Kluyveromyces lactis: one gene and its partners. The protein of the gene in region 2 interacts with the protein of the main gene of each other region in a biochemical or structural test. Links are inferred from orthologs where the notes say so. Each region holds a gene or a part of one and is shown on either strand. Other genes may lie near its edges. The genes, in order: RAD9, DPB11, LCD1 and CDC45.

Region 1 (8,373 bases), about 120 kb from region 2:
TTGTTCTTTGACTTGTTCCAACGATGAGTTGAATACATATTTAAAACTTTACATCATGCGCTTCCACCCACATAACCCGTTCATTCATTCATCGGTATGGTCATTTGATTCTGAAGCGTACAGATCTTACATTTATGAACATGATGCGAAAAATATTCCATTCAGTGTAGATGATATGATCTACCATACAAACATCATATGCTTGCCTCTATTTGCAGCTACCATTGGTTCTCTTTATAAGAATACTACTTCTTCTTCTACGAGTAAGACAAGGGAATTGTATGAAATTGCAAGGAGAGTACTACACGTTTACTTGGATAGAAGAAAAAATTTGAAACGGGATGAAACAACGTCACCACTCAATTCGAATTTATGGTTGATCCAGTCTTTGACATTGTCAGTAATGTATTCCATCTTTGCTGAACATAGTAACTCCGATATCAACAGATCAGATCAAATATTGAAACAAGTTGGAGCAGTTTGTTCTTTGTTAAGGAATTACTTTTTACCGTTGGTTCAGCAGAAACCAGAAAATTTAAGGTCGGAAGCTGAGATAATAATATGGGAATCAAAATTAAGAACAACTTTGACAAATTACAACTTGTGTCAGTTTTTACAGATTTTCCATAGATTATCCTCGTCGAGCTTCATCACGAATTTTGAATTACAGACGATAATGATTCCTAATAATGAAACGAGGTGGTCAACTTTATCATTCAACTGGAATAGTACTACCATAAAGTCCGAGCATCTTTACCATTTGAATTTCTTACACTTTTTCCAAAGTTTCCAGTTTAATGATCTAGGTTATCATACTATTCCACAAGTTTTAGTAAATTCAATGCTTTTCTATGAGTACTCAATAAAATTATCTGGGTCAAACATGAATGTGTTCATCAACAAAATCGATACTAAGAAACTAGAGAAGAATTTACCCCAAATCGATCAGGATTCTGCTACATCGGACTGCTTAATTGGTGACTCCATCAATTTAAAGAACTCTTTGATTTCTTTGAGATTGTTTGATAAATTGGACTCCCATTTTTTCAGAATAATATCCAAATACGGATTAACTGACGATATTTTCGAGAATTGTTTGTCACCCATTCATGCCAATATTTTGTCCAAAAATTCTGATTCTTTGGTAATTGATTTGTTGGTCTCAGTTAATGCTTCTATCAAAAATATTGCATCGTTATTTTACTACACCAATGAGACGGGATATTATGAAGAAATTAAGTTTGATTACTCAAAAACCTCGTTGTTCCAAATTCAGGGTTATTTCTTCAATTTCCTTTGCATTTTAAAATTCATATTAGACTTTGAAGCCACTCCAAATTTCAAGGTGTTGAGTATATTTGCGGAGTTACGGAAACTGGTAGAGCAGTTAATGATTCCGAAACTTGTCCATAATTACCCTCTGGAGTTTTCAAAATTCACTGACTTAAAGACGGCATATGATGGACCTTCTCCACAGGCTCCAGCTGTCCATACGTTCAGTCTTGAACATTTGGAAAAGAGCATCGAATCAGTTTTAGTACAATCATTCAATGACTATAACTATTTGAAAATGCCAGTTGGTCCTGTCAATTCGTTGAATGAATTCGAATTTGATTCAGGCTACGCTGAACCAGCTCCAGGACCCAGCAAGTCATCAATAAACTTACTAAGGCACCACGATCTATGTAAACAGAATGGTGCTAGAACAAGACAGGGATTTTATGACCGTTATCATCTATCAGACAAATTGTTACAGGTTGCCAAATGCTCTTTCCTCTTGATATATGAATCACATGTACATGGTTCATTATTGACAAATTTCATTGACATAATTAACACTCTTCAGTCAAAATTAGACAATCAACGCAAAATTACGAATATTATTTTCAATGAAGGAACCCATCTCTTTGGAAGCAACAATAATCCTGTCAACGATCACACTCATTCTTTTGTTAACATGCTGAATTTGCCAAACTCAAACACTCCTCCTGGAGATTACTACTTCAATCCGAATTCCCTATGACTACCGTAATATTTAATTAAACAGCTTTTTGATGTATGAGATCTCACGAAATGACCAAAAAAAATTCCTATAGTATACTATTTATAAATAATTGAACAGTATTTGTTAATCCCGAGAATATAATGTAACTCTTATTTATTCTACTTTCTATCAGTCGGGTCAATTATTGTACTCTTACTGTGATACACTTTTATTACGCCTCTTCATTAATTACGGTCTGAACCAGCCATTCCTTATTTTTGATCCTAAAATCATTTATACCCTCCATCAGGAACCTTTTAGAAATGCTATTTTCCCAGTCGGATGAGTTCTGCAAAGACGTCTCGTTGATGAAAAGTATCATCTTCTTACTGTGGTAATTATGCCGAAATTCTACAAGTTGGTCGAACAGATCATCGTCCAACTCTTGCTGTGGTTTCAACTTCAAGTTTTTCGTGTATTCCCAATGACCAACTTTAAACACCTGGAAAATGAAGTCCACGAAAAAATTCATATCGGAGTCTCCTAAAATCAATATCGAGTAATCTTCCAAAACTACTCTGGCATTGTTTAGTTGTGCATCTAAAGTCAAACTGCTATTGAAGTTTGTCAGGAAACTAAAAACATTGCTTGATTTGATAATACCTAGATTGAAGTCAGCCATCAACCTGTTACTTTCTCCGCTCGGCAAAAGATTTTGTAGTATCGTTTGAGTCGAGATATAACCTTTGTTTATGCATGACTCAATAAACCTCCAATGTAGTACAGGCCATCCCAAAGCCAATGCTTCTAAATACTTCGGACTTCTTGAAAAGTTTCCCGCAATAAGACAACCAAAACGGTAACTGTTAAAACGTGGATTGTTCCAACTAAACTCTCTTGATCTGTCTTCATATCTTAACAGACTTTCAAACCCTACGCTGGAGACATATCCTCCTTGTATCTCGATTAGATAAGATAACCTTTTTCTATCCATATCATTAAGTCCACTCAATACAAAGATGCACTTTTCGAAAACAGAACCTCCCTGTCCTTCTAATCCACTCATTATAGTAGTATCATAGAAAGTGTCTCTGAAAATCTCTGAAGTTGACTTGTTATAATCTTGAGCGGTTTTCTTCATAGGAGAAATAGAATCCCTCACTGATCGACTTCTAACAGAACGTCTCAATTCATCCAAAGGATCATTGTCTTCATCTTCCAGTTTTATTTTGGTTCGTTTGATCCACTCCCCGGTGGTAACGTATATGGATGCAATGGTATCTACAATATCATTCTTGCTGAGTCTTCCGTTTCTCAGTACCTTTCTTAAATGCACCGTATCATATCCTCTAATGCATCGAATGACATCTTCTTTTTGTGGGATCTGGCAATCTAAAGCTACGACTTGATATTCATTCATCTTCCAGTGGACTTTATCTCCACATCTAATATCTAAATAGTAAATGTCTTCCACCCTAACATCATTTTGACGTTTCTCGAAAAGAACGGAGCAATACCCAGGCTTCGTACGCTGTTCGGAAAGTATCTTACCAGGATAAAAATTGCAATCATTAAAATAATACCAGACCGCATTATTGAATAAAACATCTTTTTTAGTCAACTGCATTTCATCTGATATACGAAGTTCTTTCGGCAGGTAGACACCTTCAGTGAAAGCTGTAAATTGTGTCATTTTACTTGGTGTACTACTATCTTCAAATTCTTCTTCTAATATTAGCTGCTTGTTTTTCCGTTTCTTGGATACATTAAGTTGTTCTTGTGACTCAAATGACGGTTTGTGCTTGCACTCATTGCGTTCGAAAATTTCAGGTAGTTCCTGAGTTTGTTCATATTCCTGATCTGTATCCAGTCTCGAGAGCTCTCTTGAGACATCATTCGTAGGATTATGTTCATTGTGTTTACGTTGGTTCAAATCGGTAGCATCATTCCGGACACCCCCAATTTGTTCATCCTCGTCGGATATCTGACTGGATGGTTTGACATAATATGTGAGTTTAAACTTCATTTCACTCGAGTTTTCATCTGTTTGTTCCTTCTGAGAAGATTCATTGTTCATCTCAATAGACGAGTGACATTTGGCTACTTCCTGATCTTCTTTTTCTTCTTCTCTTTCTTCTTCACTAAATACTGTTGAAGGTGATTTATTGGAGGCCTGCTGCATGGGTCGGAGATTAACGACCGCTGGAGAATGAACCAACTGGATTTCTTCGTTGAAATTAGAACCTGTTTCCTTTTGTGTCAATATAGTTCTGGTAGAAGGAAGAAGACTGTGATGAAATGAGCCAAAATTGATTGGAGATGTATGCACTATTGATGTCTCTTGAAGTGCAGACTGTTCATCTAGTTTCAATAAGCTCTCTGAGACATCGAGGTTATTAGACTGAGTTCTAATTAGCTGAGTCATCTTTTCATCGGCCAATGTAGACCTGATTTCTTGTGTTTGACTTACATTAGCTGAATTCGTTGCAGGTACTAACATTTCATTAGATGTTTGAGTTACATTTTGAGTGTCAATATCACCCAAGATATTACCATTATCTGCATCCTTCAGTGTCATTATAAATGGTTGTGGATGCCCCTCTGGGGACGAGTTGATATTTTCAATCAAGCTGATCGGTTCTGAAGCTGCCTTCACTTCACCTTTAGCATTCCTAAGTGAGCGAATCGATATCTTATTCTTTAATGGCGTGTCTAATAATTCAGGTTGATATGTGTCATTGTTATTCAAAAGAATACCTTTAGTTTGAGTCAAATCAAACGGTAATTCCACTTCGATATTCAAGTCTTTCTCCTGAAATCGTTGCAATACATCAGTCTTTGATTGGATATCAATTCTTCGTCTAATCTCGAGATCTCGATTTCCCTCAGGTGTGTCTTCTAACAGGGATTTATTCGTTGGATTTAAATTGAGAGCAGTATTACCCAAAGCCTTTATAGCCTTGTTAATTCCCGTGAGCGTTCGGGTGCTTGTATTTTCTTTTAACACTATTTCATCTGAGGAAGTAGACTCTATCTTGTTCGATAGCTGTTTTCGATCTGGACTGTAATTGGGAGTCTCTTTGGTAATACCACTGTCTTCTTCGTCTCCTGTCATACCATATGAAACAGCAGATACTGATATTGATGGTTCAGAATGAAGTGATATTTTGGCTCCGTATTTTTATCGAATGTTTAATAACTTTTGTTAGTTGTGCGTTACATACTGTAAACTTTCTTGTTTTGGTTTATGATTTTCTGTCAATATTACATTTGTAGTTGTTAAAGACTAAGACATTAAAGAGTCAACTGTGCGATGTGTGAGTTTTATTATTATGTATCCATAGCCGGTCGCATCTCTTCAGGGTATTAGTATATGAGTTGCTAGTATAGCACTGGTTGCAGGTTTGCTATTCTAGGAATTGATTTTCGGTTCTTCTAAGGAAAAGTATGATATTTTCTATCGATGGGTGTCAGACACACATGAAGTGAACCTTTTAGAATGCATTTTTTGGTTGTTGGCACAAACGATATATACCAACACAAGAGGTGTAGCTTTTATGATCCTCGCCTTAAGCAAGCATAATTTTGCTTCTCGTGATTAGCACCCTTTAGTCGGCAACAATAACTGTGATATCATGACCGACAAAAATTCGAAATGTAATGGTAAGTGACATTATTAAATGAAAGCTAACAATGATAACGATTGAATGGTAAATACTAACTCTAATGTCATCTACTATTAGGTTCATATGTTGATGTTCTACTTTGTTTTGAGTCGTTATTGGAAAAATGTCTCAAGACGCTTGAAGCCAAGCAACTAATCAAAGATTCAACGGAAGTATGGGACGACTTTGTGGATATCATACTCTCGTTCATTCCCTTAAATCTTGTGAAAGAACGATTCCAAAATGGTAATATTAGCAAACAGCGTATCATTTCTATAATGCAGGGTATTCTTGATCACAATCCCGATATTGATTTTACAGTGGATGCAAATTATATGTCGGATAATCTATGTGCTAGATATGCAGATGATCATTTTGTTCTTAGATGGAAGACAAACATTATCATCAACTTCAGAATTATTCAAGCATTCTTCGAGCTTCTAGATGAAGAATATGGGACCGCTTTTTTCTCTTTCCGCTGGATTCTACAGTTCATTTCAGTCTCTAAAAATAAGCGTCACAGTGAGAAGCGATCAGACCTTTCCTCGTCTCGGATAACATGGATAATTCGACAAACTTCACTTTATCTGGCAAAATGTTTGAATTTAGATTTTAATCAAGGGAAAAGGGTAAAATACGTGTCCTTCAATTCGGTTAGGGTGAATCGTTTGGACATGTTCAAAGGCATATTATACACAATATTGGAAAATTCAAGCAGTGTAATATCTGCACAACAGGACATCCAGAATAAGCATATGACTGCGGAGTATTTCAAGATATGTGCAGAAATCTATGAATTTATTGCGCTACTCGATGGGAAAGTATTAGACTATGAGCACGCACATGATGTTAAGACTACTGTGATAATACCGCAAACAGTTTTTTCCACTTATATGATCCGTCATTACATGCTAGCTGCAGTTCATTTCCCATTCGATGACCCTAAAAGGCTTGTATGTTTCCACAAAATATTGATGGGTTTATTTTTTGTGAATAAAGTTGACTTAGCTACTTTCAACTACTTCTATGGTGAGTTCTACCAGTGTGCAAAATCCATAAATGAACAGCACTTTGTCACTGATTATGCTAATTTTTCGCTTTCTGGTACCTTTGTGAATATAATTGAGTCAGTTGCACAGAATCATCAACATCTCAAGCTTTTACCAAGTGTCCTAATCCGGTTGTCTACCAATGAAGTAATAGTCGACTCTGAATTCGATCCCGTCTTATCAAACCGACATACTTATTCGAAAGAAGCAGAGAAGTTGAAACGAAAAGTTCGTGGGTCTGATTATGAACGTGATAATGTTGAAATGGGCGAAAATGGTACCAATAACTTCATAGAATTTTGGCGACAGCTCAATGAAAGATAAAGCAAAAGTACACTTTTATATAATTTTTGTTATATATGTAACACCAAGTCTTCTATCTATATATTAGTGGGAAGCAGTGTTAATAAATCGAATCGATTAAGTTGAAATAGTTTCTTTTACAAAATTACTATTCAATTCATCAAGACGTTTAGAACTGTAGCCACGTATTTCCTCATTGATCTCTTTTGATTTATGATTAAGTTGATGCTCTAGAACAGTACTTTCTGCAAGAATATCTCTTTCATCATTATTTGACGGATAGTTGTTGCCAGCTAAAAGCTTTTGCGTTCTGTAATTTTCATATAGCTTATTGTGCGTTGTATCTTTCAAATCTTGAAGATGAGATCCTAATAGAATGTTCTTCAAATAAATGAAATCACAATGAGCCCTATTTTCCACTTTTACAGTTCCCCAGGAGTACCTTCTCACGTGAAACAGTTCTCCATTTGGTGAGACTTCAACTTCATTACTACCAATTATCGAAAATGGTAACATATCCCTGATTCTACAGCAAGCTGTATTCAATTGGGCTGTTCCTTCACCATAACTATTTTGCTGCATACTGTCAAAAGAAGTGTTATTAGGAATTGGACTAGAATCATTAGCCTCGACAAGCATCAAAGTATCTTCTAGTTTATCATCTACAAAATCGTAGATATTGATATCATTTTCATAAATATCTTCCATGATGAGACGTTTATTTAATGCTATTTCCCTTTCGGTTAATAAATCAGCTTTGCTGATGACTGGGATGATATTGACCTTGTCACATAACGCCTTCATCAATTTTATATCTAGCTCACGAAGGCCTTTTGACGTTGCTCTAATGAAGAATAGGCAAACATGTGGTCTAGTGTCAACATTTTTTGGGTTTCTCTTGATTCTTATTTCCTCATTCAACACGCGATCGAACTGGGATTCCAAATAATCAACAACGACTTCATGGTTATTAGAATTGTTGATATTATCCCCCAAACCTGGAATTAGAACAATGTCGAGGCTTATTGGTGTAGAATTTTCCTCTTGTAAATGGAAATTCTTGGACACAATATCAATGCCTGGGCTCAAATGTGCGGTGGCAGGATCAAAACCCTCTTCTTCGTGTCCAAAAACCTCTTGGTTGCAGATATTATTGCAAAAAGTGGACTTGCCTAAACCTGATTCTCCTATCACCAACATGCAGAACTGTATGCCTCTTTTGGCATTTTTCCTGCGACGAATTTCTTCTGCACTAAGCATCTGATAATTAGATTTCTTTTTGCCAAACATTATAGCTGATGGGAAACACTGTTCACTTTGCCACCGTTCGTGAACCTTCGTATCTTTTCCGTGCGCAAATAGTATGATGCAA
Region 2 (8,148 bases):
ATCTGCAAGAACGAGTAACAGTATCTACCATTCATGCTGCCAAGGGTTTGGAGTGGCCAGTTGTATTCATCCCTTCCATAAACGAGGGATTGATTCCTTTTACAGAGCAGTCAGCTCGCCAAAGGCTAGAAGATTTGGCAGAATTACGTCGGGATGGTGAAGCATGCAATGATCTTAATAACTGTTCGATGGGCTCAGGTGAATTCGACAATATTAAAGAAGAGCTACGAGGCAAGGAATCAGACCTCATAGATGATTTAGAGACTACCTTGAACGAAGAAAGAAGGATCTTCTTTGTTGCTCTAACCAGAGCGAAGGATCTTTTGTATTTGTCTTCTTCAGGCAAAAAAAGCATCTTCTTAAAGAACTGTGAACAACTCTATTCGAATAATGTCTTGTTCAATAACCCACAATCAATTTTAAGGTTTTACCGTTGCATGAATCGGACATTGGAAGAAACCTCCTCAAAGTTTTCATTGAAGTCCCTCTGCCAAGACTACCAAAAGTCCAAAAATTGCAAAACCAGCACTTTTATATGGAATGGTACAAATGTTCAAACACCTGCTTTAATCGATTTCAATAACAATACTGCTCCCTCAAGTTTTTCCACAGGAACCAATAGTTTCAAACCTGCAAGTTCCTTTTTGAACGCATCATTCTCGCCAGGTAAAAACAGCTACAATTCTGGGACTGCAAATGTTACCAAAGTCCTCACAACCTCATCTAAAGAATGTCCAAAACCTGCTGGAGGGAAAATCTGCGAGAAAAAGAGGAGGATCACCCTGGATATGCTGTGCAAGAAGCCTGTCAAAAATAGCCAAAGCATGCAATCAAAGAAAATCAGATTGGAAAGCTCCTCCGCTCAAGACTTGTCGCACTCTATATCTTCAGATAAAAGAACTAACCACTCAACCAAAGTGGCAGTAAGTCAAAGCAAATCTTTTGCTCCAGCGTACACTCCTGTCAGGAACAACGCGAAACGAGTGAAACTCAAAACGAGTACTACTGCAAATGCCTACATTTCAAAGTAAAAGTGTTTTAAATGTATATTTATCTAATGTCTTTGATGATGATCTGCGATTTAATTACCTACACAGAGGTCAATACAGAGTTTCTTAAAATTTAAGCTTAAACGGAACTTTTAGAGCGAATACGGCGAGGAACAAAGCATACACTGTCAGTATCGCCATCGCCTTATAAGGTGGTGAATCCAATGTGTTGAAAGTGAAGTTAACCATCCCTGTTGTGACATTTGATATAAGAAATACCAGCATGCCGTTACCGTTTACAGCTCGATACGTCTTAGGCACTCTAGGTTTGCTCGTTAAGCATTCGACTATCAGTTGATCGAAGGTTAAGATTAACAGATTGAATGAAATAACCATAGAGGAGTACCCAATTGAGGCAAATCTCCGAGATACCTGTAATGGATGATAGTGTAGAAGAACATACGATATGGCAGAACTGAAGATGCTTAGAGCTACCAATTTCCACAGCAGTTGCATTGGATTTCTGGAGATTGGGAAGAACATACTACCAACTTGCTGGCCAGCTAGGTAGATGATACAATAACCAACAAACGAAAAGATTCCTTCTCTATTCGCAGAAATAAAATCTATTCGTTCTGCATTTAACAAATAGTCCAGAAAGGTTGGATGGTATATCAGGCAAAGCTCGTAGATAATGGCTGCAATCAAACCTATAACAAATCTCAATCTCATGTTGTAGAAATCGAAAATAATCATTGCAAGGGGTAGTAATGAAAGGGTAAAGAAGAAGTTCCAATGGATACCATATTCGGTTGCATGTTCTTGATAGTTTACAGCCTTAACGGAAAACAAACGAATGAAACCCAATACCACTAGTACCACCGTCGACCTTAATGATTGTTTAATTTTAGCCCATTTGGATAATTCAGTTCCAGATTTTAATCTTTTGTAACTTATAATACCATTGCTGAATACAAACGATCCAACACCTAGATCCATCAATGAAATGCCCCAGGTTTCTACCTTGGCATATTTCCTAGGAAAGATAGGGAAATCTACAGCCAATATGGCAATGGAAGTTAAGATCAGCATTGTACTCCTATACACTGTGAGGGTTGCTGACTGGTTGCCATTGTCCATTACAGTTTCTTTAATCGTTTCGCGTTTACTTCCCTTAGATATACATCCAAATAATAGCACCGCACTTAAACCTAATATACCTGTAAGAAATGGGTTTTCCCCAAATACAGTAACACTACAGAGGAGACCCATCCAATTCAATAAGAAATCTAACCAGAAGGAGTCCCGGTAGCTGGGATTGTTCGAAACGACGTAGATCCAAGCGGCGTTAGAAAAAATACCGGCTAATGTGACATCTCGTAAATCTGCAATTGAACTTCCGGAGTGTCCGGTAACGAAAGCTTCCTTCCGGTGTTTCAATTCATCAATTACACCAGAAGCATCCATGGTCTGATATCCCCGAGCCTGTATACGTTTCTTGTACTTACTTCCTTTATTGAACCTTCATTGATCTAGAGCTTAATAAACAGGTAGAATGACACTTGTCAATATTTTCACTTTTAAAGGAAGCATGCACAGAAGAGTAAATCTGGAATATAGGTTCAGACACGTAAAAATGACACACATTTAGGAGTTAGAGGCACTTCTAAGCAGAATAAGAATGTTAATGATCTTGTTACAGATAATATCCGAATGGATATGTATACATATATACATACATATATATGGCGTGACGTAATAATACATGAGATTTATGAAACATGAGAAATGATGTCTTTAGCTTGGCTTCTGGTAGAAATCTTCCTTCTTTTCAAATTCTGCTGCACAGATGTCGACGTTGATGCTGATCCGTACGTGATCTGAGTATGCGAAAGATGGTCACTATCATGACCTACAGTTTGGATAAAGCTTGATTCCTCATTCTCTGTATCTACATTATTTGAAAGAAGTTTCCCCCAACGGTTCCCTCTATTTGGAACATGAGGTAGTTCTGCTGATGCAGAAGAGGCAGTTGACAGAGGTGCCGCAATATCAACAGGAGCGGGTTTCTCTAGCAAAGGATCCTCGTTTCCTCTTTCCTTTGGAATTATTTGTAGTGCAAAGTCAGATTTAGAACCCTTGGGACAAGAAATACACCAATTAACGTCATTAAAGTAGATGTTCATGGAAGTCTTATTAGGTTTCATTGCTCTTTGGAAGAGTTCAATGACAAAACTTGGAGTTAGGATGGGAATATGATGAGCTTGCTTAACGAATTCAATTTTCCGTTTCATTGAATTTCTAAACATTTGAGCTTGATTTACAGAGATCTTCATATCCAAATCTGTCCTGAACATTGACGCGTACTTATTTTGCCTTAAAGTATGTTCCTGTGGTATTGAAGTCAATTGGGAGATGTTAACGAGTAAGAAATCCGTCTTCTTCGTCAATTTCTCATGATGGTCAAAACCAATCAACTTCAAAAAGTCTATAATTTTATTGATGTGTAGTAATTCCACGCCATGGAACCCTGTGATATGGAAGGAAAGTTTAGGGCCATGTAACACCGATTTAGGTGGAATGATATTGAAATCGTTGTAGAAAGGTTTTGACCAAAAATCCGGAGGTAGGAGTTGTTCGTAATACAAACATCGTTCGATGAAGAATTCTGTCAACCACGATGATTCATTTGGGATTCTCGGCAGTAGATTTGCCGGAAATCCACTTGGACAGATATAATAAATGGTCTTATCCTTCAGCTGTGCCGGTGACGGTGATGTATCCTCGAAGAGGGAAGACGTTCCTTTATTACCGCGAATGACATTAGATAAGATAGTAACCTGTCTTTTTTCGAACTTGAATAGCACGAAGTGACAGTCCAGGAAGGTCGGTGTATCCTTTGTCTCACCAAGGCATTCTTGATGCGTTGGGGTGGCTTCCTTAATATCAGTGGACTTTGACGCTGAAGCATCACCATCTCTTGCCAATAGTTTCCCCCATATCTGATTCGCTTGAGGCTTAAATTTATCTATAGCAATCTTCAACGGATTCACCGAATCATCTTGTACACCCATGGGATTTGGTTCAGTTACAGATTTTTTCTTATCTGGAACGTCACGAATGTACGAACCAGAACCAATGTCAGAGTATTCAAGTTCATGACAATTTTTCAACAGGTAGAAAGATTGAAAGTCTAGAGTCCCTGATCTGTCCATACAATCAATGATCCATTTTGGATGCACTACGGGAACGTTCTCTTCTAAAGCAGCCTGGACACGGTTCCCCGATAAATCATCGGTAATAAACAACGAAATGCATGCATTGGATGACGAAGAGTTCCTAATGAAATGCGTGGTATCTACCGATTTCACTTTACCCAATTTACACAACTGAACCAACGACTCAAGAGAATAATGGTTATTAGGTCGTATTCTGCCAATGAACAAGTTAAATTTTTCAAACGACCCGATAGAGTACTTCGATTTTAAGTACTGGGACATATCGAATTTAGCCAACTGCAACAGATCTTCTCCTGCGAGCCACGCATCGTACAACTGATCAACGGATCCCGGACTAACAAACACGATATCAGTTCTATTCTTGACAGCAAAGTTATACTTTGCGGTGAATAACTCTCCAACAACCAATACGTTGACTAGTCTTGTCAAATCCTTGGTATAAGTCCCACCGAGTTTTGTCACTTTATGTGAGATGGTATCAGAAACCGACAACGGGAGAGACGTAGGACAGAACACCAGTCCTTGAAATGGTTTGCCGGACATGTTTGCTCTACTTCAGGGAGAATTGAGGAAGAAGAAGAAGAAGAAGAAGAAGCTATCTACACCTTTGTTCCAGCTTTTTAGACACATCATCACCATTCATATGTGAAGGAAGGAAGGATGGATTGGATATCTGTGTAAATACGCGTTTATGTGTGGAAAATAATAAACAGAGAAGAGTTGTAAAATGACATTTGTTTACAGGTCACGTGGACGAAAAACACAAGCTACCCAGGGTTACCCTGAGAAAACGAAAACCAAAACCAAAAATTAAACACTAACCACGTGACTACAGCGAATCTCCCCCTTCCGGCGCCCCCCCCGTCGAGTCATCATCCTTGTCAGCAACCGTCCAGCTGACTCATATATCTGTCACATGTGAAATTGCAAGAAGCAGGCAAACATCGCCACCCATACACCATTCGGACTTGTGACTTCTCCCCGTTAGCCTTTCATCCGGACAAATCCTTTCAGGTCCTTACTCTCCCTACGATAAACCGATATAACTGCACAAATTTTTTTGCTGACTACACGGAAAACCGCGCCTAGAACCGCTTTTTTTGTCCCCAAAACTTCCTTTCCCCAGATCCGGCTGAAAGGGACAATTGCAAAACTGGAATTACACACTACTAACGCATATTAATTAGCCCTCTTATATAGTCTATAGCATACCGAATACTGAATAATATGTCCAACGTCACTTGTGGAAATGTCACAAATGTCAGTTTCTGGGATCCATCAATTAAGGGAAATTCTTCAAACGTCCCAGCTATCTCGGTTATCTCATTGGTTTATTCTCTTGGCTTGTTAAAAGGTAGTTTCTTCTTGCCTTAGTTTCTTGAATTAGATTTCTCGAGGGTTTTTATAGCCAAATATTATTATTATTATTCATGATTCTGAATCAGATATATAAGACAAACGGACCTGGGGAAACGTTCTGCCATATAACCATGAACCGGAAGGTTTATGGTAGGTATCAGATGTTTTTTTTTCTGTTTGGAACGTAAGCTTGCTATAAGCTTCCTGTAGTAGCGCCAAGTATATGTATATATCACTATGCCAAGTGTTTCGCAGGATGATGTAAAGGGCGTGCTTGCTGGTAAGATGTCTACTGGTAATAGCAGTGATGACAGTAGCAGTCAGTCAGGTAAGAAGCGTAAATATGGGAAAGTCGACAAACACAATGAGAAGAAATTGTTGATGCCTACGGCATCAACAAAAGTGAAACGGTTTTCACAGGCATGTGATAGATGTAGGCTTAAGAAGATTAAATGTGACGGTATCAAGCCTAGTTGTTCCAATTGTAAGAAGATAGGGTACCATTGTTCGACTAGTGATAAGCTTACAAGACGCGGGTTCCCTAGGGGTTACACGGAGATGTTGGAGAACGAGGTGATTAAGTTGCAGCGGCTTTGTGGGATGGTGGACGAGAACGGTGAGACCGTGATTGATGGTGCAGTAGCTGCCGTGGCAGCTACTGCACAGACGGGTGTTATTCCTGCTGGCCAGGAATTCCTTAACTCTGTGGGGGAAATGGGAACAAAGTCTTCTGTTTCGGTTCCTCCAGCGGCATCGGCAGCGCCAGTACCGGCCCAGGCCCCTGCGTCCACGTTCCTACCCTTTATCAATGATACTTTCCATAAATTCCCAAACTATATCCATGACCAAGTGTATCTAGGTAATTTCACCTGGAATTCGATCGTCAACCATAATAAATCTCAGTTGAAGTCTTTCCAGTATACAAGGTCTATCGTACAGGACCCGGTTCTATCGTACCTTAACCGACATTTCCCACTTTCACCGAGCGGTGTACCGATTAATATCCCCTTATCTGCTGAGGATGTAATACGATTAATTGATAAGTACTTGAACTCGAACCAAATCTTCCCATATCTCTTGGGGACGTCATGGCACCAACGAATGATCTCGGTACTAACCGGGACTTCGACTGTCTCTGACCCTGCGGTGTCCATTGTACTAATACTTATAGTACAGTTCGAGTTGAATTGTTTCAATAACGAGACGATTTTCCAGGCGGTTAAACTTTTGGGTTCCTTGTCGCAGGACAAATTATCATCGATTCAACTGATGAATTTCGGAATACGGTATTTCATGTCCCAGGAGAACCCATACTCTGTCATTTGGACTAACGATTTGATTAATTTCAACCAGTATATGATCATCAATTCAGCTTTGTTCTTGAATTACAACAATCTTGTTGGACATGAAAACTCAACGTCAAAGGTTATTAGGCTTCTCACGTTTTATCAATTCCAAGTGTTCCAGATCTGGTGGTGTTTCATCAACGGATTACCTAAGACTAATTTCTTAATCGATGAATTCCATCCACCAACCATTTCAGAGTTCCCACCTCATTTGAAGATGTTCCAACTCATTTATGATTTCATATTGCAATTGGATGGTTGTCACCTTCAATTATTAGCTAATGAGACTAACAATAAATATCAGCTGTTGATAGAATCCTTCGGTTACAAATTAATTTACCAATGGAAACTTTATCACCATTTACAAGACCATGATTTCAAACAAATTCAATTGGAAAACAACGACTTACTTGAAATCGGTATCACTTTGGTATACCTCGTATGCCGATATTTACAACAACCGAATTCCGTGGAACTATCTTATGAAATCATATCACTTTATTGGTTAATCCTATCCGATAATTCAAACGTGAAACCAATAAATTCGAGAATCTTGAAGACTGTTCAGTTTATGCCTTTGAACAATAAACAATTGATAGAGAACTGTTTGTTGAACTTATTGAATGAACCAAAGGAAACGTTCAACTGGTACAAATACAAGAAGTTGTTGAAACGATGGGTCACCATTTGGATGGATGATAACGACATTTTCTCAAGGTTAATCTCTCACTACCAACTCTCCATCGGCATGTCAGATATTTCACCAACCATTTCGAATTTCAAACCAATGGGGATGGTACCTGATACCGTTAACGACACAACTAATTTATTCAAGATATATGACGATGCCAATGATAACATAATTGATGACGAAGGCTACGAAGAAGATAACGAAAGTGACTACAACGAATTGATAATATTGCCCAAGAGGCGAAGCATGGGTCACCATCCATCTGCAAGAGCGTCCAGCATCCATAAAGCCGGAGATCGAACTGATTTTTCACTTTTCAACAATAAGATCGACCACATCATAATCAAGGAGTAGCTACTCAAATCAAACAGAAAAATTCAGACAGAAGAATCAACATCCGCAATATCCATAACTATTTATTACTGATTACTACTAAGTGTCATCTCCTCTTCAGTCCTTTCATGATAATTATTACTATATTTATTCTGTTCACTAGACACTATTCTTTACTTCTCCCATTAAAT
Region 3 (8,271 bases), on a different chromosome or scaffold from region 2:
GCCTTGTGTTAAAAAGCAAGTCGAGCAGAATTTTTAGATTATTTAGTTGGTTTCTTCCAGAAATACTGTTTATGCACTCTCCTGCATGATCTTAAACCAGATCTGCCACCCTTGAGTGATGCTACCAGCTGTCTTCTGTCATCGTCAGGATCATTTTCTGCATCATAGTAGTATTCTTCATCCAGTGGCTTTCCTGCGGCATCTTTTCCTGTACGGTAAATTACTCCGATACATTGTTCGTCATTCAAAATAGCGCGCAGTTCTGTGCGGCTTAACTTCGAGACAACAGAGTTAACATCCTGCAATTGAAAGAGTGGCACTTGTTGAATGTTAGAGAATGCTAAGTGATTGGACAATACATGCTGTAATTCTTTGTAATCTACCCCCCTTGTAGTCAAAGAGGAAAGAGTTTGTTCTTTTGAAGCTTCATCACTGTCAATTTGCTTTCTTGATTTCTTTTTGGATTTCTTCTTTGGCGAGGGAGTGTTTAACTTACGACGACGGACTTCATCGGCGTTCTCATCCACCTTAACCTTGCTAGGTGTAGTCATGTCCTTAACTGGAGTACTTGCTTCTAATTTCTTCGGAGCATTTGGAGTCTTTATTGTGAAAGAGCTATATGGGGTCAGCTTGCACTTGGTACGTTCCACATTAGGTCTTTCAGTATCAGAAGTATGTCTTATAGCCACTGGTAAAACCGATGGTTTCATGCACTGAGGTGTCGGTGGCGAACACTCGACTGTGCTCATTGGTATCATATTAGCAACAGATTCCTGTTCTTCCAACGAGAAGTCTTCGTCATGGAATTCATCACTGTGTAAGTCGACTTTTGTCAGTTCATCTTCAGTTTCCGTATCATTTTTGGCATCTTCTTCATCAGTTGTAACATCTTGTAATCTAACACGAGCCTCACATTGTCTGAAGTCGAATATTGTGTCCTTGATATATGGCATAATGACTGTTTCACCTTTCAATAGTACAAATGATGTCAAATAAGTTGATTTCAACAACTGCTTTTCCTCTGGAGAAATGATTTGTTCGTTATCATGTAATTGGTCCTGTGTTACTAGCTCGTAAACATCTGAAGCTTTTGATCTTTTAACCAATACATGTGACAGCTTCTTCGGGAAGGAAATAACGAGACCATTTGTACCATTGCATTCGAGTTTTAATTGGTTGGAAGGTGAGATATAAGAAATGAAAGCATGTTGTCTGGAGATATTTTTTCCGCGAGGAAGATGTATATCACATACAGATTTTTTGCGCCCAATTGCCAATCGTGAGTTATCTCTCGGATCTAGCGAAATATCGATTAGGCTAACTTTCTTCAATTCGGTCTCCAGATGTTTTTCCATTTCGTAATCAGATGATAATATCTCACCTGCTTGATCTCTCATTGGGGAAGAGGAACGACCAACAGTAGAAGAGGGATGTGGAGTTGGATAATTTTTGACATTACCTTGCTTTAAGTCGTCTTTGTCCTTGAACAACTTCAAACTGGCAGATGAGACCACGGATTCAGTATCTTTCTCTGGGTGATAAAATGGATTTTCTAAATCATATTGATGTGAGCTCGCAATAGGAGATGAAGGAGGAAACTGCGAGTTCATGACCTCGTGTCTTTTCTTTCTTTGGTTTAATCTCTGTTAACGTTCAGGTGCTTCAGTTTTAACCCTTTAGAATCTGATATTAGATTTTCCAAGTAGCAGTATCTTTGTTGCCTTTCTATGACAGGACACTCCAAAAACAATACTACAGAATCGTTTTGTCTTAGATAGATGTTAATAAACGTAAAAGAACTTACTACAACCTAAAGTCTCTTCATTTCTCAACTGAATATGAACTTCATACTAACTTCAAACTACAAAATATGCGTCGCGTCGTTTCCTTGTATTTTGTCTATTTCGTAGTGGCCACTTTTCGCGTTATTCCCCAACTATCAGGACTGCTCATTTATTAAATCCGTACATCCAAGAATATTCTATACAGATAAACTAAAACTGGTGAGTTGAAAATGTATTTCCCTTTTTGGTAAATAGACGGCTCTCCGTATTTGAAATTTTCTTTTCCCTGCTTTTCGATATCGAAATTTTCCAAGGAAAGTTGTTTCAACCAAACTTTTAGAGATAATATACATTGTTCTATATCCAACTAAGGTCAATATGATAGAATAGTGCTATCATTATAGTGTTGGGTTTAGATTCAAGATAAGACAGAACCAGACATAATCAAACATGGGTAGTATGTGATAGAATACTATACATTTTGGAACATCCTTATTAAGAGCTTTGGAGTGTGATATGCATAAAGAACGAGTAAAATGGAGAAAACAATAACACAAGGAATAATTGAACCACCCGTGAGGCAGCACCAAATTAACGGAATGGACAGTCGAACTCTAATGGAATATAACGTTTGATGAGGTATATTTTGAAAAAGGCCAGAAAACGTTACGACATCGGCGAGTACGTTAGCGAATTATAATGTTCAATTTACACCTACTTATTAAACGGGAGAGAACAAGAATGAAAAAGATTTGAGAACAACGGTCGACTCATTGGAAGGATTTCTTCGGAAATATCAGGTTAGGTTTTATGTTACCTTCTATGAAATTTTTTGACAGATTCAACTAAGTAATAATGACCATCATATTACACTTCACCTACCTAGCTCATGTGGAGAGTTCGATTTACTCTAAGGAAACAGTTTTACTAACGATTTTTTTGCATTGTCAAATTTTTTAAACAGAGGGTACTCCATCTTTCGGTAAGCGCCACAACAAGTCTCACACTCTATGTAAGAGATGTGGCCGTAGTAGTTACCACATTCAAAAGCACACCTGTTCTTCTTGTGGTTACCCAGCTGCTAAGATGAGATCTCACAACTGGGCTGCCAAGGCTAAGAGAAGAAGAACCACTGGTACCGGTAGAATGAGATACTTGAAACACGTTTCTAGAAGATTCAAGAACGGTTTCCAATCTGGTGAAGCTAAGGCACAATCCGCTTAAACTTTGAGATTATCATGTTGTTGAAGACATATTTTTTATTATCTCATTACTTTGTATAAGCATTGTACTTCTAAATAAACCATCAATATAATCTTTTCAGAGTTCATTCCTATGAAATAATTGGAATATGCTAATATTTATCACTTTGATCAGTGTAAGTCGATGCACATGAACGCCAGTAACTGAGCTCTCTTCGCTTCCGTCTTTCTCAAGTTTCACTAACCATGGCTACATACAATGAATCCGCTTCATCCATAGTGGTTATGCTTTCGAGAATATATTTAGCCATGTCTCTCAATGGCCATGAGCTGTTGTTATTAAATTTTGAAACTGCAGATTCCCTTTTTATGTCCAATTCCTCGGAGTGCATGAATGCTGGTAAATTATCTTCATCATAAGCGTCATCAAAGTATTTCTTCTCTTCCTCTAACGCCAATGCTTTCAATGGATTTATTAGGGCAGCCCATTCTGTGGATAATTCATCTGTCGACTCAGGCCACCCATATACAATACGCCATAGACAGATTGTCAGTTCGTCTAGCCTTAAGGCACGTTTATACTCGTCACTTATCGACACCCAACAGAAGTATATCAATTTTAATAAAACTGATAACAATTCCTGTCTCTTAATATCACTGATATGGTCCCTATCCAAGAACACAGTAAGTAATAACTCTTGATGACTACTGAAAAGAGAAAAAGTCTTTTGTAGAAATTCCAACGAACATAGAGTGGATCGGTATCGATGAAGCAGTTTATGCATTATTAATGTAATATTAATTTGTATCTGAATTGACCAATACTCTAGGTTATCTAATGCTGTGAAAGTGAGAGGTTCAAACTCGTTCTCTATAATCATGGGTAAATATCGAACTTCTTCGAGACTTATAATATTATCTATCATTGAATGATTGGAGTTATCGCCACAGCACCTATTTAAACCCGCAAAGTTGAGTGACACAGAGTCAAAAGTAAGTGATCTCTCCCAATTTTGAATTAATTTTGAGAACAATACTGCCCATTTGCCTTTCCAAACGTTTTCAGCACCATCCAATTCAACTATACCGAGTAATATTTCCGTTACGTTGACGATGATTGGCATTATTGGCTTATATGAAATTGATAAAGTAAAATTGCAACATTTTATGAGGTTCTCTGCAATAGTAGCGTCATTCAATACTATTTCCTGTGCCCGCGTATTACAGTTTAGCAATATTACAATACATGTCTCTAGGACATCGAACGAATAAGTCATGCATAATTGATCAAGCATTGAATATTGAAACACGTCTGGAGAAACGTCTAAATCCAAAGGACTCTCATGCAATGGCTGTTTCAAAAATTTAGGATCAGAGATGATAAAATCTGTAATGAATTGAAATACATCCTTCAGTGAACTAACACTGGTCGCACTATGTCTAAAATTGATTGTACAATGCATCAAAGATATGAGGAAAGGGATGGCAAGTTTATTTTCCGGAAGTACACTTACTGATTTTATAGCAATAGCCAAGATCTCTAGTGTTTTATCAACTAGTTGATCGAGGGTGTAAATGGATTTCCATTTAAATATCAACGATCTAATAGGAGGGCCAAGAGGCAACCTGGCCTTAATTATTTTGTGTTCCGGGCTCAAAATAAGATCTGTCTTATAAGTACAAATGTGATCGAGCATTTCTAGAACTGTGTGCTCAGAACCAAGTAGTTTAAAATTCAGCAAATGATCATAGAAAAGGGAACCATCGTCTACTTTGAAATTCTGAGTCAATGTAACGTATTCTTTAACGGGTTCCATCCTTCTTCTTTTATTTTCAATTGGTGATGGTTCAGCAGTTTCAGTTTCGTGGGTAGTTTCAGACTTGCTGCTATTTCTGGGGGTAAATAAATGTTTCTGTTCCAGTAACATGAACTTTCGTTCATCTTCAAGTCGTTCCAATTCGATTTTAAGCTTCGTAACTTCCTCTTCATGAGAACTTTTCAGACTTGATTCCAGCTTTTTCTGATTATCATCATGTTCCCTTAGAGTCTTTTCGAGCATACTCAGCTTCTGCCTCAAGACTCCCACTTCTCCCTTCGCTTTCATTAACTGTTCAGCTTGTGATTCTGGCGGTTTAATAGGTACCGCCATCTGGCTCATCGGAGGTCTATTCACTAGTTCTAGGATATCATCGTCATCGTCATTATCATCCCATAAATCTGCCATATTGGCCTAGGTTGGTTTTTCTTGTTTTTGTTTGACGCGTTCATGGTAATGTTCTTGACATGAATTAACAGTTAAAGGTTAAATCAAATTCTGTGGTCTTAAGGTGTAAACAAATATGCAGATGATCTGCATTAGCTGAAAGAGAAAAAAAATACATAGTTTCTTGGTTTCACTGTTGTTGACCTTCATTCCCCATTAACGCTGATAACATGTCGCTATAATGCCCTTATACTCGCTGAATTAAAGTCCCGTAACTTCTATATCTCTTTCTGTACACTCTTTGAATGTATTACAATATTTATTAATGATATTTGACTTAATGCTGGCATAGAGTTGTAAAATATAAAAAAGATTATATTAACATATTGAAACAATCAATGTCATATTCACAATCATAATAAGAAAAGTTTCTTTCAGAAGGATATTGCTATGGTTAAAATTGTTAATCATTTAAATGAATGGTCTAGAAAGATCATTTATATTGACGCTACATAGAGTATTCTCTTTGCCCAGTAAATATGACATTTCAATGTTTAGTCATAAATTTACTGAAAATACTCAATCGAAAGATGGGACAAGACCCACACTCTCAGAGATGCAATTGATTTACATTCTACCATGTTACAACGAACGCATGTATCGAATGGCGATTTCATGCCTTGAAATCCCTTCCCTCTTGTCATTTGGAAGCTATGACATGCGGTGCACGGAATTTCTTTTTACTGTTTGAATTTTTTTTTTTCTATTAACCACTTCATGCTCATCGAATGGAATAGTTACAGAATAACTGGAAGAGACCATACTTTAACTACTTGCCGCATCGTTGTACCAGCTCCTGTGGTTTGTTATCGACTGAGGATAAGCTTTATTACGGTACATTTTAGTAATATAATAAGTACAAAAGAAATAATATCAAGATAATATGGTTGAAGATTCTAAGGTCAGAGATGCCATGAAAAATGGTGAGAAGAAAGTCTTGCCGGCATCATTGGTCCCTCAAGCTCCGCCAGTGCTAACATCGAAGGACAAAGTTACCAAGAGACTTATTGTGGTGCTATCCCAGGCTTCTTTAGAGACACATAAAATATCATCCAACGGTCCTGGTGGGGATAAATACGTCTTGTTGAATTGTGATGATCATCAAGGTTTGTTGAAGAAAATGGGAAGAGATATAAGCGAAGCTAGACCCGACATTACTCATCAATGTCTTCTAACCCTATTAGATTCTCCTGTAAATAAGGCTGGTAAACTTCAAGTTTATATTCAGACCAGTCGAGGCGTTCTTATCGAGTTAAACCCTACTGTACGAATTCCAAGAACTTTCAAACGTTTCTCAGGTTTAATGGTCCAATTATTGCATAAACTATCCATCAGATCAGTTAACTCTGAAGAAAAATTGTTGAAGGTCATTAAGAATCCAATTACCGACCACCTACCAACCAAATGTCGTAAAATCACCTTGTCCTTCGATGCACCTGTCATAAGAGTGCAAGACTACGTGGAAAAGTTGGATGATGATGAAAGTATATGTGTGTTTGTTGGTGCCATGGCCAGGGGTAAAGATAATTTTGCAGATGAATTTGTGGATGAAAAGATTGGTCTATCCAACTATCCATTATCTGCTTCGGTTGCATGCTCCAAGTTCTGTCATGGTTGTGAAGATGTGTGGAACATTATGTAAACATGGAAACTCGATTGTTCAAATCAGTATTATATCTCGATAAAATTAAGTAATATTATCAAATGCAGAGTTCGATAACAAAAGTCGCCATATTTTGTACATCAAGGGTAGCATTGGAGCTAGTTTATGGTGAAACACGATAGAAATTTTTCTCTGCTCTCTTTCTTATCTGCCTGTTTACGGTTAGAAGTGGCATCTCAGACGTTTTAACTTTTAAGATGTCTCAAACATGTTTCATGTAAAATAAAAAGCTTAGAACAAAGCACATATAAAAAGGAACAATACTTACAGGTGCCACCTGCTAGTAGTGAACTGCGGATAACATAATTAGAATGATAGTCTCAGTAACTCAAAAGAAAACAATGATGTACCATCGAAATGGGACATATTTACTTAAAACTTAATGAGCGTCTGTCACAGATATGGTGTAATAAATATACGATAATCATACTAGTCATGATGGTTAAGATACTATTGTTCATAAAAATGCTATCAAACGGGTTCGAAAATATAATGGATTATACCATGGAGAATTGCCGTAACATCGATTATTATTATTCCAAATATGTCAATTCTTCCCCACATTATATGGGTCTTATGGGAAACTTTCTAATTCAAAAATCTATGGAACAAAGTGTAGCATTATCGCTAAAAAGTATTTCACTGTTGGTATCTGTTTCTGAAAATGTCATAGATTTTATGATAGATCTTTGGTTGGGGACATGGGTATGCTTAATCGTCAGTGCAATTGATGGATCGGTTGATGTTGCAACGAATGCTACAGAATCTGTCATTGATTTAGTAAATGGAACAGTAAGTAGCGTCGCAGATGAGATTGATGATGGATTGAGCGGATTGACCAAAGTAGTTAATAAAGTTCTTTCGGCTGTCAATGATATTCAGAATTTCTTTAAAGGGAACGATGATGAATCAGACATTAATGATCAAGTAAAGAAAGTTAATTTAACAATAAATGGGCTGAGAACACTTTCTATTCCAAGTTCTATAGATGATAAGCTGGTGAAGCTGTCTGCTAATACACCTGATTTTGATACTGTTAAGAATAAAACTAAACAAGCAATTGCCGTTCCATTTGATATCATCAGGAATGAAATTAAATCAATTAACGCCAGTAAGCTAGTTGGAGACCCGCAGTACCTTGAAGTACCAGCAATTGATACTAGTGGTGTAAAAATATGTTCAGATAACAAGTCAGAAATAAATGAAGTCTTTGATACCATAAGAAAAGTGTTTAATGCTTCCACCATGACAATACTAATAGTTTTTATTCTTGCTGCTCTAAGTTTGATTGTGTATAACGCCTGGGCAGAGTGGAGGCAATGGATACGCCTTAAAAGATTCAGAGATCAATACAGGCA
Region 4 (8,158 bases), about 510 kb from region 2:
TATTATCTCTTTAATGCCATCAAAGAAGCAACGAATGTCAATATCAATCTCGAACGGACTTCGTTGATGTCTTCTGGAACCAACCAGATTAGAGCTCCTAACTTTCTAGCAATAGAAATAGCCAATCTGGCGTTTGCATATCTGTCCTCTTCAGTTTTACCAGGTAACACTAATGAGTAGTCCACATAACCTGGGGCCAAACCATTTAGGACATCCAATAAGAAGTGAGCGTTGGACAACGAAGGATCGCTGAAAGATCTTATGGTGGATGATTTTCCACCCTTGGAAACTGTTTCTTGAGCCCACTTTAAGATTTGGGAATCAGACATATCTCTACCAGTCGTGGCCAATTCATTCATTGTATTGACAATATTCTTACGCATTAACTGCCACACCAAACCTAGCGTTAGTAGTTTATTACCGTCGACAATATCAGAGCCATCAATACCAACCAAAGAGAATCCTCTAGATTTACCTAAATCAACAGCATAGTTAGTATTTTCCAAAGCCTTGAAGCGTGAAAGTTCAGAGTCAGATGATTTCTTGTTGATTACCTTCCAGTTTACAGATCCAGGAATAACCTTATCATATGCCTGTAGAAGTACTAATCCATCCTTTAAGTCTTCGAATAGTGACACAACTGGAGGATCTACTTCCAAAGAATTTAACCACAAAGTGAAAACTCTGGCTTCTCTCTCACCTTCTGCATCGAAATCCTCAATTTCGATAGGTTCGTTTTCATCCAATGGATCCAAACCAGGATGAGTGTTGAATAGATGAGCAACGAAGGCTAAGTTTAATTTAGGATTACCAGCCACTAATGCCGTTGGAGTCAAATACTTTCTGCATTCCAATTTTTCAGCGTTTTGTAAAACTTCTTCTGCTCTTTCTAGCAAATCGGTGGTTTGTAGTGGTCCCAATGAGCATAGATTTGAATCCAATTGATTTAATAATACAGTATAATTTTCACCATCCTTGATATCAGAAGAGAAATTGGAGACCCTTCTGTGCCACCCAGCTTGTTTCAAATGGTAGTTGAACCAACGCAACAAGATTTGTTCTGGGGGTAGTCTTAGGAATTGCTCCAAAGTTTCATCTTCTTCTAATAAACGGTACAATTCCGGGTGTAATTTGATATCAATCTTGGATAGCAAACCTCTCCTAATAATTTGCCAAATTAAACCTAAGATCAAATGTTCTTTACCTTCAATAATATCTTCAGAGTGAACATTAACCACAACACAGCCGATAGCTTTAGCGGAATTGATCACAATGTTGGCGTTTTCGGAAGCCGTGAAAGTGTTCAAAGCCTTGTTATTCTTAGGCCAGTTTAACACTCTGGTATCGATGGTGTCCGGGACAGAATCGTTAATCAACTTGGACAACACCAACCCATCTCTACATTCGTCGAATAATTGGAAAGTATCGGTAGGGAAAGGAAGCCTATGACCAATGTCTGCGTCCCCAGCTAGCACGGAATTGATATGTGTAGTGAAAGCCCTTCTTTCTTCTTCATTAATCGTGTGGGTGGTACCAGAAGTGGAACCACCGACAATAATCTGAGCTTTCTCACCAGTACCTTTGTGTTGCAAACCAATCGATTTAGGTTTAGTTGGAACCGGTGGTGCACGGTTGCTCTGACCGGAAATGTTAGGAAAGCTCGTTTGTGGGAACCCCTTTGAATTGTCTTCGTCCTGTTGCGTACCTTGAGATGAACCGTTTGCTCTTAATTTTGCCATCAATTCCACGTAATCCTCCAATTCAACATGACCCGAAGCATCTACATCAACGGTCTTCAAAGTCTCCCTAGCTTCATCATAAGATGCAACACCAGACTTGGAAATGGATTCCAAAATTTGAGGTTTTTCAACCCAGCCCTTATCCTCTAGATCGATGTTTCGAAAATGCTCTATCGTTTCGAAGAGATCTTCCTGAGAAAACTCAGGGAACTTTCTTTGTAATCTAATAATATTCATTATTGATCAGTTTATATTGCTGTGATTCCAATCAATTGCACTAATACTGCAAGTTGTAAACCGTATAGGCAGAAGGAAAGACGAGGGCTTCCTTTCTTGTTTCGGGCGTGGAATACGGCTTTCAAGGTTTATGTTTTATATTCCACCATGTTAAACTTTATTCTTTAAAGGGCTTTTCGATTGGAAATGGAAAAGGAGAGAGTATGTGATGTTCGTATGTTATGATAATTGAAGGGAATTAAAGCCAGTACAAGCCTCCTGGTTCAGCAGTCTGATCATACGGTGCTTTACACGGGTTTCATCGTCCGTCTATCCATTTGCGTATGCTATTTATGCTTGTCGCAGTCTATTTGCATTAGATATATTGGGATATTCCGCACTGTGGAATAATCTTGTGAGCTGTGAGGGATGAAATAGTCACAGGAGTTAATACTACTAGCCAGCTATTCAGTGTTTTCCTCGTACTTCCACGCCTCATTTTGGACAAATGCTGTTTGGAACTGCCGGAGCTGTTTGTATAGATCTTGAGATGAGTTCGAGTAATCGAATTTCGGACTTGTTTCTGGCATGTCATCATCCATTAAATCTAGCTGTTCTCTCCATAGCGTTTGGTAATACGGTACATTGAGCCTGGATTCAGGTATTGCTCTATCTTTATCAAAAAGTCTTCTCATGGCAACCTCTTGTTGTTGCAATTGATCCACTTTTGTCTTGTTTAGTATATTATCATGGAGTATGAAAGGTGACGGATCGTATTTGAAACTGAGAGTGTTTTCAGATATCCCTGGTGCCCTTTGTTTCCCATTCATATCCCTGTTTCTATTGCGTTCATTCTTGTAATTCAACGGAGTGTAGAGCGAAGAGTCGCTGAATACATTTGCCGATGTGCCCATCCCAACGTTGAAATCCTCATCTGTTGAGTGTTTGACATGTTTGATCCTGCGGAACTGCGGGCTTTTCCAGGGTGGCAGACGCGGAAGATCTATGTTGTGCTCCATGTATTAACTTAAGAGCCTGAACAGCTACAGTTGAGGGGTTGAAGGCTGGTTCTTGGCAACATTTTGCCTATAATTATGACAAATTATTGTGGGTATTTTAGAATGCTTACCTTTGACTGACATTTGTGGCATTGGTTTAATGATCACGTGATATCAATGGTAAACCTAACAGATTTCAAACAGCTTGGACATCCCATAGTAGTGTCAATTTCGAGGTATCTGATTAGATTGTTACATAATATATATATATATATTAGATTTAAAGCCGAAAGCTCACCTCATGATATGCCTAAATTAATATGTTTGTGTCTTCGTGCTAAATCAATCCGCTTAATGTCAAACGTTCAAGGAATGGTTGTAGATCGTCTTTCCTGATTTCAATAATTGATGTCTCGAAATTGTCAATCCTTACTTTGGCACCTGTCTCAGCTGCTATTTGTTGAAATGCCACTGTGAAATTATTTAAAGTTTTCTGCTGTTGTTGTTGTAAAATGTCCAACCCTCTTGGGTACCTTGGCGCAATCCCTGCACAAAGATATGTGTCAGAAGTCTCATCTAAAGTTGCCAATACCAGTGGAAGTAACTGTTTTTCGTCATTTTCTGCATAGTATTCAATGAGCCATGATCCCAGCCTCAATAACGTTAATGGATTTCTATATAAATGCAAATCTGGTCCATCTTGTAAAACACATAGCCTGTAAATCCTTAAATGTTTCACTAATCTTTTCTCCAGAATAGCGACTCCAGTTTCAAATACACTTCTTTGTAAAAATGTTGCATGCTTAATCCCCTGAGATAAAATATCCATATTATTGTCCAATACATCCCAACTTGACCAAAAATTTGCAATCCATTTTTTTTGCCTTGTCTTCAGTATTCTGTTAATTTTTTGCTCTTCAGCTTCTTCGTACTCCCTATTCTCTTCATCACCTTGGTTCGTATCATCTTTTTGAGATACATTAGCTGTTGTCAAATTTTCTAGTGCGTTTGAAGCATTGCCAACTTCAAGTAAAGCGGTTATCGATTCGACAAATTCACTGGCACTTATTGATCCTCGGTAACCGAAAGTTCTCAAGAACCCATCTCGTACAATATCTTGTAACCCGTATCTATCGAGATTTTTATCGAAAAGTACGCCCAGATCTCTCTTGAAATTATTGTCCATATATATCCAGTTTTCCTGTGTAACACTCAGCGGAATACCCATGCGTGCAAACATTTTATGCAGTCTTTTCTTGCCATTTTCATTCCACAGTGACAGTTTGGCGTTGACGTAGTTAGAATAATAAAAACTATCATATAAGGATGTATGCCTCAGAAGGAATAAACTGTAATCGGGACGAATCTCAAGATTCAAAGAATCTGGCGTTTTAGTTTTTTCACTAGGTGTCAATCTTTTTACTTCATCTTTCAGAAGTGGTAATAGTCGATTGTATACCAACGGGAAGGAATTATCCAAAGAGGACACTCCTAGAATGCATAACCATAAATAATCTAGATTTGTCTCACCAATACCAGACAAAAGAGAATATATCTGAACTGAAAGGGAGTTCAGCACCGTTGATCCCTGTGAATAGTACTCCTGTAACACTTTTTCTAAGTTGTGAAACTCTCGCTTTCGTTGTTTATGTGATTTTTTTGGATTCAATTCATCGCTGGACCTTTTACCCAATACTACGTCATCGTCATCGTCATCGTCATCGTCATCGTCGTCTTTATCCTCATTTTGCGTTTCCCTGTCATCTTCCTCTTCCTCGCTATCACTGTCATCGTCCAATTCATCGCCAAGTTCGTTCTCTATCTCTATAAGTTTGTAGTATGCTTTCTTTTGCTCTGTCAAAGACTCTTCGACTGTTCCATCATCGAAACAGGTTATGCACTGTGAACCAAATAAATTATCCAAATTCCACGGTCTATGACAATCAAGCACAAATATCTCCTTCTTAAATTTCTGAACAACGTCAGTCTTATCTAATTGAATCTCATCTAATGGACCCTGCGTGTTTTCTTGTGGATCAATCTCTAAAAAAGATTCAAGATCTACCATCCCTCCACAACCTACAAATATAACGCTATTGATATTTTCGTCCAGTCTCTGATAGTGATCCTTCAATTCCGAATAACCAAACACGGGAACTAACTGTGATTGTACCAATTGCTTCTTGAATAGACTGGATAGCATCTTCGATGCACATAACGCGTCAATGTTTAAACACGAAACAAAAATCACCAACTGACATGAAGAATGAGAACTGCATCGGTGAAGAATTTTATCATAAGCACCCACAAATTCAGCAATGCCAATATACATCCTCTACCTGGCACTTTGATGGCCTGCAGTGGTTTTGTTTGCAGTCTCTTTTCCCTCGTGAGCTAGTCATCTCATGTATTTACATAAATTTCTTTAAAATATTGGTTTGGAATACTTACACGTTTAAAGATTTTTGGAAAATCGATTACTTGTCATAAATGGCATACATGCGAAATATTCGAAATATTCGAAGAGATGCCAAGATTTACAAGACTATAGGTACTAAACACTGCTATCTGATATTTCATATTGCAGTATTACGAAATACGAAGATCTTAACTTACTATGAAACTACTGGGAACAATAATTGGTTCAGCATTCTTTTTACAAGCTGTGTCTGGATTCTTTTTCGATTCAGGTCACCAGAATAGACAGCAACAGCAGCAACAGCAGCAACAGCGGGATGTTGGCTCTTACCAGCAAATGTTCCTAGATAATGACTGTCCGCATTATTTATGTCCACAGACATTGGATTGTGTGAGACAGAAGTCGGATTGTGCGTGTCCGTTCCCTAATTCACAATTGAAATGCAATCTACCCAACGGTCAGGTAATTTGCATCTCAAAGCCAGCAACACATGATCCAACACTGGTAGAGATTTATGATGATCCAGTAATGGGACCAGCTCAACGTACTGAGGGATTCAGAGATTGTGGATGGATCTTGGATGTATATGACGGCAAGATTTAGAATGAGAGATCTTTCTTTCTGTATCGGCCATAATACTATTACAAACATAAACTGATAATATATATAGAGACATATAATACAGACCATTACTGTATTTAATGCAATTAACTAGCATGGGTTTATTTTTACTCGTTTGAGTTCTTCGCGGAAAAGATCGTTACCGGTTCGGAACAGTTAATCTCTGTTCTTACCTGCAACCCATCTTTTGTATAACAATTCATGGATTTTAAAGTTTCTGAAAAGCTCATCGTACTTTGATTGCTTCCAAAGTTCCATTAAGTCATCTTCAGGTATGAGTTGTTCAACGTAGCATAATACAAACTGTTTCTTGGCTCCGCCCACGACTCTGGCAGCGCTTGAATACCAAGTGTAATCATTTGACTGGTTTGCATCCAAAACCATGATTCCATACTCCGCATGTTGGAAAGGGGGTCCTCTTCTGTATAATAAGTATTCGCAACCAAATTTTATCCCCGATCGTACACACCACCCTTTGGACCTGTAATGATGGTACGCGACATATTGATGAATTAATTTCTTGATGTCTTGGAAACTTTTCGGTTCCAGTACCAACGAAACCATTAATTGTTGCAATGTGATCTTCAATACCGGCACTGCATAAGAGAGGAAAATAGCCTCGACGGGCATCAATTGCAAGCTTTCTAGTTGAATCACTGATTTGCCTTCTATTAATCTTAAATCTTCGTCACGTATTTGCATCGAGTCCTTTTCAAAAGCTAATTCTTTATCTCTTTGATTCTTTAAGAATAACCTTTCTTGTTCAATGAATTGTTCGTCTACAATCCCCTTTTGTCTCATTTCTAACTTCTTGGCTTCAAATTCAGCTCTCAGTTTCTTGAATTCGAGCCGCTGCCTTCTTCTAACGTCTGTAACATGCTCTAAGTTGATTCGATCAGCATCATTTAGTTGCAATCGAGACATTGTTCTTGCCTGCCAGTTGGGTTCACTCCGAGATAGTTGACCAGTACCAAAGAATCCGTGTTCCCATAAATACTTCATCTGCCATTGATCACATACCAAAATTTGACCTAATTGGTTGATCTTGACGTCAATAATTCTGGTTTCACTCCATCTCATCGCCCAATCTAATATCCAGGAAAATGCCTGAAAGGGATGTTTCCATACAGACGGTACAGGCTGCGCCTCTATAGGCAACGCATGTTTGTATTGCAGCTGATTTCTATGAGATCGCTTCGACATTGTAAGTACTTGCCTCCCGCGGTCTTCATATATAGTTACTAAACATGCAAGAGAGATTAGCATTGGACAAAATATGGTTTTATAACTGATCTCTAATTCAAAAGAATTAAGTTTCAATAACTAAAAACTCGAATAAGCAGTACAGAGTTAAGGAGTGATATTAGGTTTACATATTTTACTAAGAGGGGTACGAATTAGAGTAGAGAAAGGACAAATCAGATACCGTTGTAGTCTATTGAGAAATCGTGTGCTCACATTGAAATAAATTCTTCGAGACATCTAAAATGGTTTATCATCATATATAAAGAAAAAGCCCTTCAAAAAAGAAAAATATCCACAGAGGTAACATATCTTACCGCTCACTCCATCTGGAATCTATGAACAGTAAGTATGCTGGCTGTATGAATCAACTACAGTTGGTTTATTTTTTGGTTGATCAGAATACTTATATATGTGGCATCAAACATATCTTTTCTCTTCCAAGCTCATCGCTTTTGGCCTTTTATACTGAAAAATGAAAATTTTCACGTTTGTGAAATGTCAGTATCACATACAACGGACAATTTCTATACATTTCGGGCTCTAAGGAGGCAGAGATTCTATGTGTTGAGCCGGGTCTGGGTTAGGGCTTTAAATAGTTTAGTACCATGAAATATTGGTATATTTTTATTTATTGTTGATATTGTTATTACGGTATCTAGTTAAAGATCTATTGTACAGTTTTATACTTTTTTTTAGGTTTTTGACGTGATGTTGTCCATCTACATGGATGCCATCTCTGAGAAATACTGTCTTAAGATAATGGATAACATTTCTGGGAGTTCGGTAATGTCATGAACGACAACGTAGAATTCGAATGGGAATGTGTCTAGGTATTTCTGGACTGATAGTTTCATGTTGCCGAATTGATCTGGAATATAGTTCACTTGAGACATATCCATGATTGATTCGTTAGAGTTAAT

The links.
Region 1: the proteins of DPB11 (region 2) and RAD9 form a complex in vitro, tested with the Saccharomyces cerevisiae proteins (3 studies listed by BioGRID, with this or other methods). The link is inferred for Kluyveromyces lactis from reciprocal best matches to the Saccharomyces cerevisiae genes DPB11 and RAD9.
Region 3: the proteins of DPB11 (region 2) and LCD1 form a complex in vitro, tested with the Saccharomyces cerevisiae proteins (2 studies listed by BioGRID). The link is inferred for Kluyveromyces lactis from reciprocal best matches to the Saccharomyces cerevisiae genes DPB11 and LCD1.
Region 4: the proteins of DPB11 (region 2) and CDC45 form a complex in vitro, tested with the Saccharomyces cerevisiae proteins (2 studies listed by BioGRID). The link is inferred for Kluyveromyces lactis from reciprocal best matches to the Saccharomyces cerevisiae genes DPB11 and CDC45.

Annotation. Positions count from the first base shown.
Region 1 is NC_006042.1:1,203,470-1,211,842, forward strand, and holds RAD9 (chromatin-binding protein RAD9), read right to left. Parts: upstream 5,100-8,373; coding exon 2,217-5,099; downstream 1-2,216. Other genes in the region: DNA-binding transcription factor ADR1, read left to right, coding at 1-2,023; ADY4 (Ady4p), read left to right, coding at 5,928-7,022; septin SPR28, read right to left, coding at 7,119-8,291. UniProt on the Saccharomyces cerevisiae protein: Essential for cell cycle arrest at the G2 stage following DNA damage by X-irradiation or inactivation of DNA ligase.
Region 2 is NC_006042.1:1,323,101-1,331,248, forward strand, and holds DPB11 (protein kinase activating protein DPB11), read right to left. Parts: upstream 4,772-8,148; coding exon 2,762-4,771; downstream 1-2,761. Other genes in the region: KLLA0_F14256g (ATP-dependent helicase), read left to right, coding at 1-1,031; GWT1 (glucosaminyl-phosphotidylinositol O-acyltransferase), read right to left, coding at 1,116-2,456; SIP4 (Sip4p), read left to right, coding at 5,825-7,978. UniProt on the Saccharomyces cerevisiae protein: Has a role in the initiation of DNA replication. Required at S-phase checkpoint. Required for the association of PSF1 with origins. Also required for the proper activation of RAD53 in response to DNA damage and replication blocks.
Region 3 is NC_006039.1:146,701-154,971, forward strand, and holds LCD1 (Lcd1p), read right to left. Parts: upstream 5,212-8,271; coding exon 3,217-5,211; downstream 1-3,216. Other genes in the region: TOS4 (Tos4p), read right to left, coding at 39-1,610; RPL37A (60S ribosomal protein eL37), read left to right, coding at 2,235-2,241, 2,749-3,008; EMG1 (18S rRNA pseudouridine methyltransferase), read left to right, coding at 6,134-6,892; pheromone-regulated protein PRM1, read left to right, coding at 7,271-8,271. UniProt on the Saccharomyces cerevisiae protein: Forms a complex with the serine/threonine kinase MEC1 which activates checkpoint signaling upon genotoxic stresses.
Region 4 is NC_006042.1:1,831,725-1,839,882, forward strand, and holds CDC45 (DNA replication initiation factor CDC45), read right to left. Parts: upstream 5,286-8,158; coding exon 3,291-5,285; downstream 1-3,290. Other genes in the region: SAC6 (fimbrin), read right to left, coding at 3-1,976; KLLA0_F19800g (uncharacterized protein), read right to left, coding at 2,420-2,974; LCL2 (Lcl2p), read left to right, coding at 5,571-5,975; tRNA splicing endonuclease subunit SEN2, read right to left, coding at 6,150-7,259; REA1 (AAA family ATPase midasin), read right to left, coding at 7,958-8,158. UniProt on the Saccharomyces cerevisiae protein: Required for initiation of chromosomal DNA replication. Acts at the origin of replication. Also has a role in minichromosome maintenance.